Linked DNA regions of Neurospora crassa OR74A. The protein of the gene in region 1 interacts with the protein of each later gene in a pairwise test. Links are inferred from orthologs where the notes say so. Each region holds a gene or a part of one and is shown on either strand. Other genes may lie near its edges.

Region 1 (4,481 bases):
ACTGCCCACCCGTCCAACCCATCAGGGTATCATCCATCTTCTTCCTACGTCTATCCCTCGTCTAACAACCCGACCTTTAAAGCTTGAAGGCACCACTCGACGTAGGACCCTTCTGCTCCGCGATCTTCTTGCCATCCAACCCAACCGTCTCACCCTTCCGGTTAATAACCTTGACACCGCCCTTCTTGAGCTGGCTCATCGTCTCCTTGCGTTCCTGGGCACCCTTGCTGATGTTCTTGTTCGCATCCAGGCCGCCGGCCTTGCGGATGCGCTCCTTCTCGCGTCTGCGTCTCCTAGCCTTCTCCTCGCGGCTCATCTCCTCCTTGGCAATCGGCAGGCCGCTCTTGGCCACGACCTCGCCCTTCTCGACTGAGTCCTTGCCGGGGGCGTACACCTCCTGGGGCGCGAGCGTGCTCTCGCCACCCGACACACCCTGGGCCGTGGTGGGCATGGCGTCCTCCATGGCGACGGTGGCGACGTCGGTGACAACGCTGATGGTGGGTGCGGCGGGTTTAGGCTTGTAGTGCCAGCTGCTGAGGGCGTCGAGCTTGGCGCAGATGTCCTTCCACATGTTCTTGATCTCGGCCTCGTCGCGCGTGAGCTTCTCGTCCGAAGCGCTGACGTACTCGTCCGGGTTGGCCTTCTTGATGTGCTCCTCCTCGTAGATCTCGGCGAGAGACTGCTTGCCCTTGGTGTCGTCGATCTCAACGAGACCGCGGCGCGCGTTGTTGGGGTTATTGAGGGTGTCAGGACGTCTCCTGAGAACCTCGTCGAACTCGTTGGCAAGAATGCGGCGTTTGATGAGCGCCTCAATCGTCTCGGAAACCTCCTCGGTAATGACGGGGACAGGCTTTCCGACATGCTCAAACTCGAGGTCTTCCTCCAGGAGCGAGTTCATGGGACGAGCTTGCGCGGAAGCCTCACCGGACAGAGTCCAGGCGCGCTTGGCAACTAGCTCAGACTCGAGCCTGCGGATCTCCTCGGCAATCTTGGCTTGTCTGCGCTCGTGGGCGGACCGGCGAGATCTCGGATCACCAGCATCAAGATCCGAGAGCTTATCTTCATCTTCATTCTCCGAGATGTCGTCGAAGAGATCGCGGCGCACATCATTCTCGGCTCTCTCCATATCGGCCTCATCTGGCTGCTCAAGTTTCTTGGGGAAATAGCCTCCTTTCCTTTGGTTGCCGGTCTTCTTCTTTTGAGGTGGCGCGAAGAAGTCCTTGTAGTAAATGTCGTTGGCGGTAAGGTCCATGTCCATACCGAGAACACCATCTGTAAGGCCGAGATCGTCGCCATCGTCCTCGAGCTGCTCCACGTTCTTCTTGCCCTTGAGTTTCTTGGCGTGGGCGGCGGCAGCAGCCTCGAGGGCCTCGTCGTCTTCGGATTCATCGCCCATGTCGACGTCGTCCTCATCCTGGTCTTCGTCCTTCTTCTTGTCGCTCTTGCCCTTCTTTGATTTTGGCTTTGTCGCGAAAGGATCGGCGTGCCAGTCTAGCTGTTCGTCGTCGCTGTCGGCATCGACGTTGGGGTCCGCACGGGCATCCGCGTCCTCCCACAACTGTGTCTGCCGGTTGAAGTCGTCTATTGAGAAGAAGCCGTCGTTGAGGCCGTTGGGATCCTCGACAAGTTCTGGCGCATCCTCTTCCTCTTCTTCTTCTTCTTCTTCTTCTTCTTCTTCCTCCTCCTCCTCATCAAACTCTCCTTCTCCATCTTCGTCCGAGAATTCAACCTCTTCGCCATCGATCTCGATTTCTTCATCGTCGTCGATCTGGCTGCCCTCTTCTCCTTCTAATTCTTCTTCGTCATCCTCCTCATCCTCTTCTCCTTCAGAGCCAGAACCAGATTCGCTATCAGCATCCTCCTCATCGTCCTCCTCCTCCTCATCAGAACCAAGCTCAAACCCATCCTCTCCAAACTCAATGGTCTTCTCTTGTTCCTCGCCGGTGCCCACAATCCCGTTCTCCTCCAGCTCCTTCAGCACATCGCCAGCCTCCTTTGTGGCGCTGGCAATGATCTTCTTGGCCTGCTGCCAAATCTGCTCCGTCTCGAAGCCGTCGTCGACGTGCAGCTTGCGAATCTTGAGCACGGCATTCTTGTCATAGCCAGCCTCACGCTTGCGCTTCTTTCCACCGATGGTGGCCGCGATCTCTTTCAGCTTTGCCTGCTGGTGGTCACTGACCTGCGAGGCGAGCGCGTCGAGGGTCTCCTTGGCGAGCAGGAGGGATCCGGCGGGAAGGGTCGAGGGCGGCTGCAGGAAGACGTGGCGGTTGGACTCGTCGGCCAGGGCCGAGAGGAAGGAGGCGACGACGGGGTTGTTGGCAATTGTCGAAGGAGAGGTGCTGCCGCTCGACGATGCGGCGAGGGTAGCGGCCATGACGCTGTTGTGTGTGGAGGGGTCGTGGGTGATTGTTTGGGATGTCGAGGTTACGGAAGAGGTTATGCTGCCAGCTGCCATGTCTGTTTTTTAGGTAGGGTTGGACTAATGCTGTAAGAAGATCAATCAAGGCTAGGGTATCGAGGCTGGCCTTGTCATACAAGTGTCTGACTTGAGGGTTCAATATGGACGCTTGACTAAGAAATGGCAGGGCGTCGGTGTTTGCCGTTGCCCGTACCAAAACAAAAAAAAGTTCGACCTGACGATGTTTGGTTGCCAGCCGGCGATATTGATGGACCAAAATTTTTTCTGCCATAGCGCTCTCCAAGGTCCAGGAAACGGCGAAGCGTGGAGGCAGGCGTCCCCGCACCAGCTTATGGGGCTGGCTGTGAATTGACCAATGATGGGTGATTCTGCTCTCTGGAAATGGAAGTAGGTCCCACTTCTCTTGTTGTTAAGCTTCAGGGCGGTGCACCGCTATAAGACGAGGTTGCCTTAACACTTATAATCGGATGACAATGTCAAGTAAACAAACCACAAAGTGCATGCAGTCTCAAAGGAGATGCTCGACATCAAGCTTGAGAGAGGGGATGAATTCACAATGACCTTTTTTTAAATATAGCATACGCTAGCGAGTTACTCTGAAGTTACTGGAAACTCAGTAAGCAATCACGCAACGATCTCCAGTGCTGTTGGATAGGTGAAGTCGCCGTTTCGACACAGGCACCTAGCTTGTTATCAGCACTTCCTTATCTAAAATTCCAGACTACCCTATCAATCCCATCAGCTCGTACATAGTCTATTGTATCTTTCGCCGCTTCACTTTCGTCGTAACTGGAAGTTTCTTGTCAAACGGTAAAAGGTAATTAAATTGTGCAAGAACTGTAAAATGTTAAACCAACGATTAACCCCATTGAGGAAGAGCGCTAGGTTTGCCTCATACTAGCTACATTACAGTATGCTTCTCGTGTTCTTTTCAACATCGTAATGAGATCTCTGCGACAGACGTTGATGGACTATTTTCTGTAGAGGTAGGCTACTTACCCAGCCGGCTCTTCTTCATGGTCTGGATAACGTGCAGAGAAAGCTCTTATTACATAGTAGAAATGTAAGGGTGTTATTTGCGCACCTTCGGGGAAAGATGCTGCAAGTCATAACACTTGTTGAAGTTCCTTCACAAGCCACATCCCTATGCATATGGTATCGCCCGTGAGAATTTTGACGGACCATGAGGTATTCTTTCAAAATACGACAGCAGCGTTGACGTGCTGCATTAGGGTCTGGACCGTCTAAGCCTTCATTGAATGCAACTCGCGGGAGAGTGTCCCGCCGAGCCGAGCTGCGAGTGATACTCAAGACCTTCGTATCCCAGGCCAGGGAATTGTATCATGTTCTTTAGCGGTTGCCGAGGTCAATGTGAGGGCGATGGTGGCTTTGGTGATCCCAGCCTCTATGGTCGTGCGTTGCGTGCTCTCAATATGACCTCTTTTTCATGTTCGCCGGGAAATAACTGTGAACCTCACGGTGAAGATGTTTGCTATGTAACCACTAACTTGCTGTCGTGAACGGCGAGGATCCCATCAAGTGTCAGTGGCCTCCTGTATAGTACGACACATGAACTTGATCGCTAAGTGGCGTTGCTCGGTCCAATCGCATCACACCATCTATCTCTGCTACCTACCTAGAGTAGAATGGCCAAGTTAACGGCAACATTTCCAAAGTCGTACAGGAGGTCGCGAGAGAAGTTTCGGTTGGCTCACACTATGTAACTGCCAATCGCACACTGTTTGGTTACAGAGCTGGAAGATACGTCGAGATGGAGGGACGGGAAATACTTTTGAGTTGCCGGATGTTACCTAATTTGTCAAGCGAAGGAGATCTCCTTGTGAAAATCCGGACGGGCCGATTCATTCTTTTCTATTTTCCATATCCGCCTCCCTTCTGGCAGGCTCTATGTGAGGGTGAGAGGAGAAACTGCATCCCACAACAGGTCTTCACAACACGACTTGTCAAGAGCACCTGTCCGTCGCCCCACCCCATCTATGCTGTTGGGAGCCGTCTTGCAGCTGTACCAGTGGCAACTCGATCGTTTTCTCTTGGTAGGACC
Region 2 (4,597 bases), on another chromosome or scaffold:
TCGTACTGGGGACGAACAGCCGTCTAGCGTCCAGCTCGACGCCCTCTTCGCGAATAACGTGGCAGGCGGTCTTGGCGAGGGCAGTCATGCGTGCTGCGACGACTTTGCTGGGTTGCGCGATGCCGTTGACGGTGGTGTAAGCGACGCCGGAAGATTCCTGCGCCGTGGCGACGAAGAGGACGGTGTGGTTCATGAGCGGATCGATCTTGCGCCAGGCTTCGAGACGGGTGGCGATGGCGGAGCGTTCGGACGATGGCATGTCGCTGTTGGTGTCGACGATGAGCGGCTCGGAGCGCCAGTCCCATCTGCTGACGAAGAGGAGGGCGCGGAGAAGGCCGACGGAAGGGGAGGAGGGTGCGTCCCAGGGGTAGGGGCTCAAGAAAGTCTGGAGGGCGACGAGTTCAATGAAGTCGGGGGTGAAGTGGGAGGCGAGTTTGTGTGAGGAGAACCAGTGTTTGAGCAGGCGGACGGTGGGCGAGAAGGCGGGGAAGCGGGTGGCGAAGGTGTTGATGGATTGAGTGTGCAGAGGGAGGTGGTAGTAGAGTCTGCGGAAGTTGGAGAGGAGCACGGAGGCTTGGTGGCGGTGGTGTTGGTCGATGGTCTTGTCGTGCGATTGGCGCGTGAGGAGGGCCTCTTCGAGGTCAGAGTGGATGCGCAGGCGGAAGGCAGGACCGGACTCGTAGACGATGTCGAGGTAGGCGAGGTTCTCGAGTTCCGTGTTGGTGGTGGTAGAGGACTCGAGACCGACGTAAGAGCGGACCTCGCCGGGCTTGGAACGCTCCAGGAGGTCGCCGATCATGCGCAGGAAGGCGATCTTGGTGCGTTGGATGGCCACGATGGATTCGGGCCACTTGCCGGAGGCTTCAAAGGAGATGACGCATTCCAGGGGGCGTGGGCCGGATTTGTTGACGGTCGAGAAGGGCACCTTGACGGAGGCGTGTCGCAGTTCGGGGCAGATGGGGGCTATTTGCCTGACGTGCAGCGGCATGTCGTCCAAGTCGCGGATATCCTTCTCGAAGGAGGAAAAGGCCTTGCGAGCGGCGTTGAAGACGGAGGTGTCGGTCGGCTTGATAGGAATCAACTCGGTGAAGCCATCGCCGTGGAAGGTGAGCTCGTCCTCGAGGTAGCCAACGCGAAGATGGAGCTTGAGGATGTAGCGCATAATTTCCTCGCAGAGGTCAAAGGGGGAGGTGGACGACCAGATCAAGGTCTCCCTGATAGAATCACCCTCGAACCGACGAAGTTCCGATTTCTCACCCCAGAACCGCTGGAACTTGGCGCATTCCTCCTTCTCCTCGTTGCTAGGTCCAGCGGCCGGACCGCGGTCGACAGAGCGGGTCATGTTGGCGGCATTGAAGAGGACACCAATCTCGATTGTGTGGTTCTGCTTGGTGGAGGGTTTCTTGGTGAGATCCCAGGATGAGCTCTTGGGTAGTTGAATGTGAATCGACCGAGCCCTTTCACCTAGTTCTTCGTCCTGAAGAGCCCGCTTGAGAACCCTGTGCACCTTGTCGCTGTATTCCCATAGCCGTCCCCGGCAGTCAATCGGTTCTGTCTTGTCCTGCTTTCCATCGTAGTTGAGGTGGGCAATGAGGTCGTAGTTTTGCCAGGGGAGGTCGGCCTTGAGGATGAAGGTAGGGGTAAACTGGTCGGCAGTGCTGTCGTTGAGAAGGCTCCTTGTCCACTTGGCGTGTTGGTGTAGCTTGGCCGCAGACCAGTTGCTCATCTTGAAGGCAACGTTCAAACCACGAACAGCGTCGAAGAGAACCGGACCAGTGGTTTCGGACTCGACGGTGGCAGTTCCCAAAACACACGGCTTCTCGGACAGGTTAGTAACAGACAAGAACTGGACCATGGCCTTGAACAACTGGGTGGCGCTCAGGGATGTAGACAAGGGCGCATGTCCCTTGGTGCTGTCGCCGCTTTGGAGCAGAAGGGCCAAAAGTACCGCCCATTCAAAGTGACCAAAACCACCGTCCGCCATATCGCTTCCCAGTCCTCGTTGTTGCAACCACACCCGACCCAGGATGCAAGCCTTCTTGAACGCGGCGCATTTCTTTTCGGTTTGTCGCAAGAGCTTCAAGTAGGGAAAGAAGCAGGACTCGGAAACAATCGTCGAGTTGTAGAAGGGCGTAGGCTTGGTCGCGGCCTTGGACTCGTCACCGCCAGCTTTGCGCACGAGGGTAGCGCCCAAGTGAAGCTTTGATTTGGGGAAGAAGTTGTCTGGGGCGCAAGGGATGATGCGCACTCTGTAGTCCAGCTGGCCCTCCTTTTTTTCTCCTTCCACCTTTGGTTTCAACGACAAAATGGGGGACAGGGTGTTCCCATTCAGGTATTCGTATGAAAGCTCTCCATCATCAGCCAGGTCCTTTTGTAGGGCAGCAGCCACAACACCGAGGAAGTAGGCTCTCTTGTAAAAGTATCGCAGGTCGAGGTAGTCCTTCTCTTGCAGAGTCTCGCCGGGGATCACAACCACCATATCCACAGCATGGCTCTTTTGGGCCTTGATCATGGTCTTGGACACATAGCTGCCGACAACGTTGAACTGGGAAGGCTTTGCGAAGGCGACCTTGTAGTTGGACTTGTCGGACGGGCGCGGCTCGGGGAACGGGATCGGGATCTTGTGTTTCTTTTCGAGTTTGGTGGCAGCCTCGGCGATCTGGAGGGCATCGTGGGCTTCGATGGCTTCGATGGAGCCCTTGATCTTGTGGAGGAGGGAGTCGACGCCTTCGAGGGCCGTGGCATAGTCGAGCTTCACTTCGTCGACGAGTTCTTCGGCTTCGAGGATGAATGCGCGGCCACGCGAGAGACCCGAGGAGGCAGCGGCGTCGATGTTGCCAACTGCGCTTTCACCGCCGCGTGAATGGCCAATCTTGCGTCGTTTTGCTGATCCGGGTTCCATTGTATGTGTGGCGGTGGTATAGGTATATGATGGTGATGGTGGAGGAGGATGTCCTGGGAATGGAGACAGGAAATTGATAGTGACAAGACACTGAGAGAGAGAGCACTGAAAGCCAAACAACAGTGGACCGAGCGTCGTCCCTCCAATTGAAGTTCTGCAAATTCGAGTCTCGTTCAAGTTTGCGACGGGAATTCCCAAATTTTTTGAGACTCTGGAGCTCCGATAAGAGATAAGAGGTCAATCCACAAACAGGGGCAGTGGAAGACCCGACAGGGGCAGTCGGGTGGGGCAATGTTGGTTGGTTGCCCCTGTGGGGTTCAACTGACAGACAGTGAGCGCCCGGCCCTTATCTCAGAATCAGACCCTCTTTTTTAGGCATGGGCGGCCTGCGGCCGCTGGGAAAGTGCGCTGCGCGCACATCTGGCCCGTGCGCTGCGCGCCCGGGGTTCTCAAAAAAAATAATAAATTGAAAGTTACTAAAGTTTCTAAATTGTGATCCGTGTACCCATTCTTTTAGTATACTTTCCGGTATTGAATAAGAACGCCTAAAAAAGAGGTTTGAATTCCCAATTAGACTAGAAGCGGATAGGGGAATTTATATTGATAAACTTCTAAGAAAGATAATATAGCGTTAAAATAAAACAATAGATTTAGGTTATACAAAAGATATGAGGAGAAAGAGTTCGTTGAGACGGATTTAATGGTATTATTAATTTTTTTCTACGACTATTGAAAGTATTAATTATTATAGAAAATGTAAAAACTTTACGTAAGTCCGTATATTCAATGCCTAGTTAGCTATATATTACAGTACGGCTTTTTATCCCAATACTATAAAACTTTGTAGGTATAGATATTATACGACTATTAATATAGTAGTATAGTTTTCTTTACTCTATAGTACGTTATTTTTTTTCCTTAATTTTTTCTATCCTCTATAGGTATTAATACTATAGATCCTAATTTCGATCCCTCCGTTGACCCCTAGCGTATATTGCGGGTAATAAAAGATATTATTAGTAATAGTAAAGACCCTCGAAAAGGCTAGGTTAAGGCGGTAGTACGGTTGGCGTACGAATAGAAGGATATAATATTAGTCGCAGTAATGGGCTACGGAAAAAGTATTGTCCTATATATATTTTTAGCTTTATATAATAAAATTACAATATAGATTATACTGTTAATTAAGTTTGGAGAAAGTTAATATAATAATATTATTACTAAAGTGCTAGATTTAAAGCTAGTATAGGTAAATAAAGATGTGACTTTAAAAGTAAGTATTCTGCCCTTTTTTACGAATCTTAAGTACCTTTATTAATTTATATATAGAACTGGGATATTTGGGACTAAATTTAATGCGGCGATTATACTTATATTCTATTGAGCCCGGAACTTACGATAAGTACGAAATTTAAGGCTGTATTGCGGTCCCTAGAATTCTATAAACGGATTAGTCTTTTCGCTATCGATAAATTATATTGCGTATTAGAATAGTGTGATTTTAGAAAGGAATTTTAGTACTTATATACCTTACGACCTTTATTACCGAGAAGTATTCCCTGGTTCGGTTGTATAGCTACGCTAGCCGGAATTTATAAGGATTTTATTATTAAGAAGGCCGGTTTTGATGCTAGAAACCTCGAAATTATTAGAACTTCCGTAGATAAACTAGAGATCTCTATTATTATTTAACCC
Region 3 (4,487 bases), on another chromosome or scaffold:
GTTTGCACTATATTCCAAGCTTCTTCACATCATTCCACGGAGCTGTCTTGAACCGTGGCCATGGATGATCCATATCCCTGTCTCTCTGTTGATGATGAATGCTGAGCCAGACTCCGACTCAAAACCACAATGGGAAAAGAGTCTCGGTCACAGCGGGTTTCCGACCCACGTCTCCAGTTGTTGCTGTGCCCAAGGTCAGCTGCATCCTGCACGGAATGCAGCATCAAGGCACAAGCTTCAAGAGCTGACGACTTCAGACTGCTGAGAGGTTGTTTGTTATTGTCAAAAGATGGGAAGGAAGAGGGCACCGCAAAGTACAGCTTTAACAGCCGCATGAACTCGGAGTGTTAAACGTGGTAAAATCTCCGCTGTCAAGAACCCCGACTTATCGTCGCATTCACCACGTGGACGGGAGGATGGCAAACTTTGATCGCCTAATTCTCCAATGGCAGAGGAATGGACAAGCTACAAATCTTTCTGTTGCCGCCCTGTGACGATATCGTCAATTGTGAACCGGCAATTGGCACTTGCGCTGTCCCCAGAGTTGGAAGTGAGGAACCAATCGCCGGTGTGGAACCTTCAAAAGAGCGTGCAGGCGGCCCCACGGAACACCGTCTCCACGTCGACGCGCCCCCTTTTGTTTGGAATGGAGCCCCAAGGAGAAAAGGGGTCCTTTTCCTTCCCACTGGTAGAAAGCTTGGCAGATCATATTTCGAGTTCATCGACCAATTGCTTTATGTTTCTGATCTGATCTCATTGAGTTGCACACTTCAGCCAAGTCCCCGCCTTGCTGCTGAGCCGCTCAAACAGCCTTTCTTTCTTTACATGCCAGCACTCAGTCCCAAATGGAAGCACCCGTTCGACCACATGTTTTGTTTATTCCGCGCTCAGCTGAGAAATGATATACCTTTACACCCTCAACTCCGGTCCGTTTCCTGATATGTGAACCCAATGCTCTTAAAATTACATCCAAATCCCAACATTGGTATCTCATGAGACTGCTGCTCCCTTTTTTGTCCCATCCTCCAGCCCCATCGTTGCGTGCGTTACCTCCAGTGTGACATGTCGTTGATAGACATGACATGCTCGTTTCACCGCGGGAACCTTCCGATCCTCACAGCCACTCGGCAAGCAGCCGACCCAGCAACCACGCCCATCACCAGTCAGACGTTGATGCGATCATCTCTGGTTCCACTAGAGTGCCGAAGCTGGAACACAGTACTCGCTATCTTGGCCAGCCACGTACTACCTCGGGCGGTAGAGGAGAATATAAGCGAGAATTCGGCTAGGCATCTGAGCGGTCTTCCCATTGCCTCCTGCTACTGAGCAGCAGACAAATTGGTGAAAAGGGCTTTCCGCCACCAGATCGTGTCTTTGCGTTTCCCCTGGCTATCCTTTTTTCAGGTTTGTCCGGCGCAATCATCAGGTCCAGTGCTTGACGTTCGTGGCCCAGCAGCAACTTGTCTCGGAAGCCATGCTCACTTGCTGTGACATCCCACCCAATCCAACCGATAATAACACGACTATAGCGGCCCTTTTGTTCCAATCACCGCTTAAAAGTAGTTCTTTTTCCTGCTGGTCCTGGTGTACTGGCTGAGGTGCCATTCGGTATCCGCATCCTTGTTGTCGAGGGTGCCCATGGTGATCTTGAAGGGCTTCATCGTAAACCGGGGTCCAACCTCACTGAGCTCGACCGAGTCGTACGAGGTGCGGACATAGACGTGGTGCCTGACCTCAATCGTATCGTCGTTGTTGACAAATGTTATGACTCTGTTGCCGACGTTGGGTTTCTGTGTCGGCTCGCGGGGAGGGAAGAGGTGCTTGAGGATCTTGACCACTCGCTCACCGAGTTTGGTGCTGAAGCCCTCGAAAATTAGCCTGGGGTAGCTTTCGCTGACTGTGCCCTTTATCGACTTGGGAATATCGGCGCGGAGAACGACGTTGTGGAGGGAGACCATGAGCGTCGGGCCATGGGGCTATAGCAAGGATTAGAAAATGCGTTTTGCAAGTACAACAACATGCCTGGAGGGACAACGTACGAAATGGGAAATGGTCATGGCGGTAGGGACACCACGGTGCTCGTGTAGCAAAACAACATCCGTCAAGTTTTGCGCCTTGGCGGCGCCAACAAGGTCTTCCAAAACGAGGTTACCACGGTTCAGCCGAACACTGGTGGGTAGTAGGAGACGGATTTCCTTGCTGAACTGGCCGAGTCTGCTGGAGGGATCGCGACTTGTCGTAACCAAGATTCTGGGGTCAATGACACCCGACAACTCCGAGTATTCGTCGTCGATATCGATGGCGTCTCCGTTCACATCCCTCGAAACATCGTAGTCGAAGTCCTTTCGCAATTCCTTGTCCTTCGCAATCTCGGGGTCGAGTGGCTTGCCCGAGGCCAGGGCAGACCTCAGCTTGGCGCGCTTCTCTGCAACCTCGGCCTCCTTGAGCAGGAGGGCTCTTCGGTAAAGGTAGTCCCGCCTTTGGCGAGCTTGCTTTCTCTATTGCAGATGTTAGTCATGGACATTGAGAAACTTGGAGAAGATGACGAGTAGACAGGGACACTTACAATCATCTTGTTGTGTTGACACGCTTATCAGACGGTAATAAGTGATTCGGTGGAAGGGATCGCGCCGAGCTCTCAGAGTCGTGTTGTCGAAAGTGGTAGTAATGAGGTTGTCGATAAGAATTAAGGCTGCGAAGACTGGCAGAAATTCAGATGTTCCGGGTCGATACTAGTGGAGGGCGGAGTGGTTGGTGACGACAGGGGTGTTCACAGAGAAAAAAGTCGAAAAAAGTTACAATCGAATGGGACTAAGCGCGAGGTGCACGGATCTTTTCAGCTTGGCGGATACCTATTGGCTTAGGTCCCGTCGATTTGCGCCTGCCGGGAAAGAGATCGCGCCTGGGTCGCCCGGTTCAACGCCACCTTAGGTACCCTGGCTCCCTTCGCTGCAGCTTGTGCCGGTTTCCCAGTACCTACCTACCTACTTGCTGCCCGCTTTCTAGAATACAGGGCAGTTTCAGGCGCTATGACTGCCCGTGCTTCTCAAACAGCTGAGCCCAGAACTGGAGGCTGCTGATAGAAGGCCGTCGGATATCAAACAAGGGAACGACGAACCTCCAACCTGAACCGCAACCGTGACCCGTCCGCCAACACAAACTGAACGGAAGTCGGCCACCGGCAAAATTCCCCCAAGCAAACAACAACCGTGACCTTGAACGGCGGCAACCAAACCATTTGCTTCACAACACCAAGAACAACCTTAAGCGAGCCGATCAGTGGTCTCACTCTGCATCAGCACCTCGACGTTCTGGCAGTGTCGTCGTTTCGAAAGCCCCCGCGCGCAACACAGCCCGCTCGCCGATCCAATCCGTTATGCGATGATGTGACCTTTTAGACGACGTCCAAGCCCATAATCTACATCTTTCCATAGTCCCGCATTGCGACAACCCGCAATACGACAGCCACACCTTTTACCTTTCGACAAAACTTCCGGGTGTGAACTCTTCAAGGTACGCCGCTTGTTTGCGTGTCATGTTCATGTAAACACTGAAATACACATCCCTCCCCAACAGCCCGCTCAACAGCTACAGGCTGGACCGCGGCGTATACCAACAGTACCTTACTTATCTCGTTCCCCAACGATACCTGCCTGACCCTACGTTACTGTTGCGAATTTCCCTCCCAGACACTTACTGACCAGCTGCTGGTGCTCCAGAGTTTACCTCCGTCAACCCACTCGCCATCATGGCCAACATGGAGGTGTCCTTCACACACCTTGGAAACCACTTGGTTTCCGACTCTGCTGCTGCCATCAAGGCCGGTGGCTCCGACGAACTGTCCAATATCGATCCCGATGAGAACCTCCTCTACGGTGTCTACGGTGGACGTGGTCCCCGCGGCAATGGTAGACGCCGCCACGATGACGACGACAACGAGACCGAGGTCCTTGATGACGATGATGACGAGAGTTTGGCCAGCGTTCCAGTCGACGGCATGAAGAGCCTCAAGCTGGATGCCCCCGTGGAGGAGAAGGAACTGCCTCCCCACGCCTGTGCCTACTGTGGCATCCACTCGCCCTCTAGCGTCGTCAAGTGCCTTACCTGTAACAAGTGGTTCTGCAGCGCCAAAGGAAGCGCCTTCTCGTCCCATATCGTCAACCACCTTGTTCGCGCCCGTCACAAGGAAGTTCAACTTCACCCCGAGTCCTCCCTCGGCGATACCGTCCTCGAATGTTACAACTGCGGCACCAAGAATGTCTTCATCCTCGGTTTCATCCCTGCCAAGTCAGACACGGTTGTGGTCCTCCTCTGCCGCCAGCCGTGTGGTGCTAGTACGTCGACCAAGGATATGAGCTGGGATATATCCAGGTGGCAACCCTTGATCGAAGACAGGGCTTTCCTCAACTGGCTCGTCACCCCTCCCACGGATGCTGAGCAGCTTCGTGCTCGCCATCTCACGCCGCCCATGATTGCCAAGCTCGAGG

Evidence for each region.
Region 2: the proteins of NCU03952 (region 1) and NCU09437 interact in binary tests that used the Saccharomyces cerevisiae proteins (3 or more experiments, as listed by UniProt). The link is inferred for Neurospora crassa OR74A from reciprocal best matches to the Saccharomyces cerevisiae genes MPP10 and UTP22.
Region 3: the proteins of NCU03952 (region 1) and NCU04243 interact in binary tests that used the Saccharomyces cerevisiae proteins (3 or more experiments, as listed by UniProt). The link is inferred for Neurospora crassa OR74A from reciprocal best matches to the Saccharomyces cerevisiae genes MPP10 and IMP4.

The regions. Positions count from the first base shown.
Region 1 is NC_026506.1:2,220,756-2,225,236, reverse strand, and holds the start of NCU03952 (U3 small nucleolar ribonucleoprotein Mpp10), read right to left. Parts: upstream 2,865-4,481; 5' UTR 2,456-2,864; coding exon 77-2,455; 3' UTR 1-76. UniProt on the Saccharomyces cerevisiae protein: Involved in nucleolar processing of pre-18S ribosomal RNA. Required for the early cleavages at sites A0, A1 and A2 during 18S ribosomal pre-RNA processing.
Region 2 is NC_026507.1:182,371-186,967, forward strand, and holds the start of NCU09437 (hypothetical protein), read right to left. Parts: upstream 2,988-4,597; 5' UTR 2,903-2,987; coding exon 1-2,902. UniProt on the Saccharomyces cerevisiae protein: Involved in nucleolar processing of pre-18S ribosomal RNA and ribosome assembly.
Region 3 is NC_026505.1:5,331,327-5,335,813, reverse strand, and holds NCU04243 (U3 small nucleolar ribonucleoprotein IMP4), read right to left. Parts: upstream 2,823-4,487; 5' UTR 2,573-2,822; coding exon 2,567-2,572; intron 2,499-2,566; coding exon 2,040-2,498; intron 1,977-2,039; coding exon 1,554-1,976; 3' UTR 688-1,553; downstream 1-687. Other genes in the region: prd-6 (ATP-dependent helicase NAM7), read left to right, coding at 3,749-4,487. UniProt on the Saccharomyces cerevisiae protein: Required for the early cleavages at sites A0, A1 and A2 during 18S ribosomal pre-RNA processing.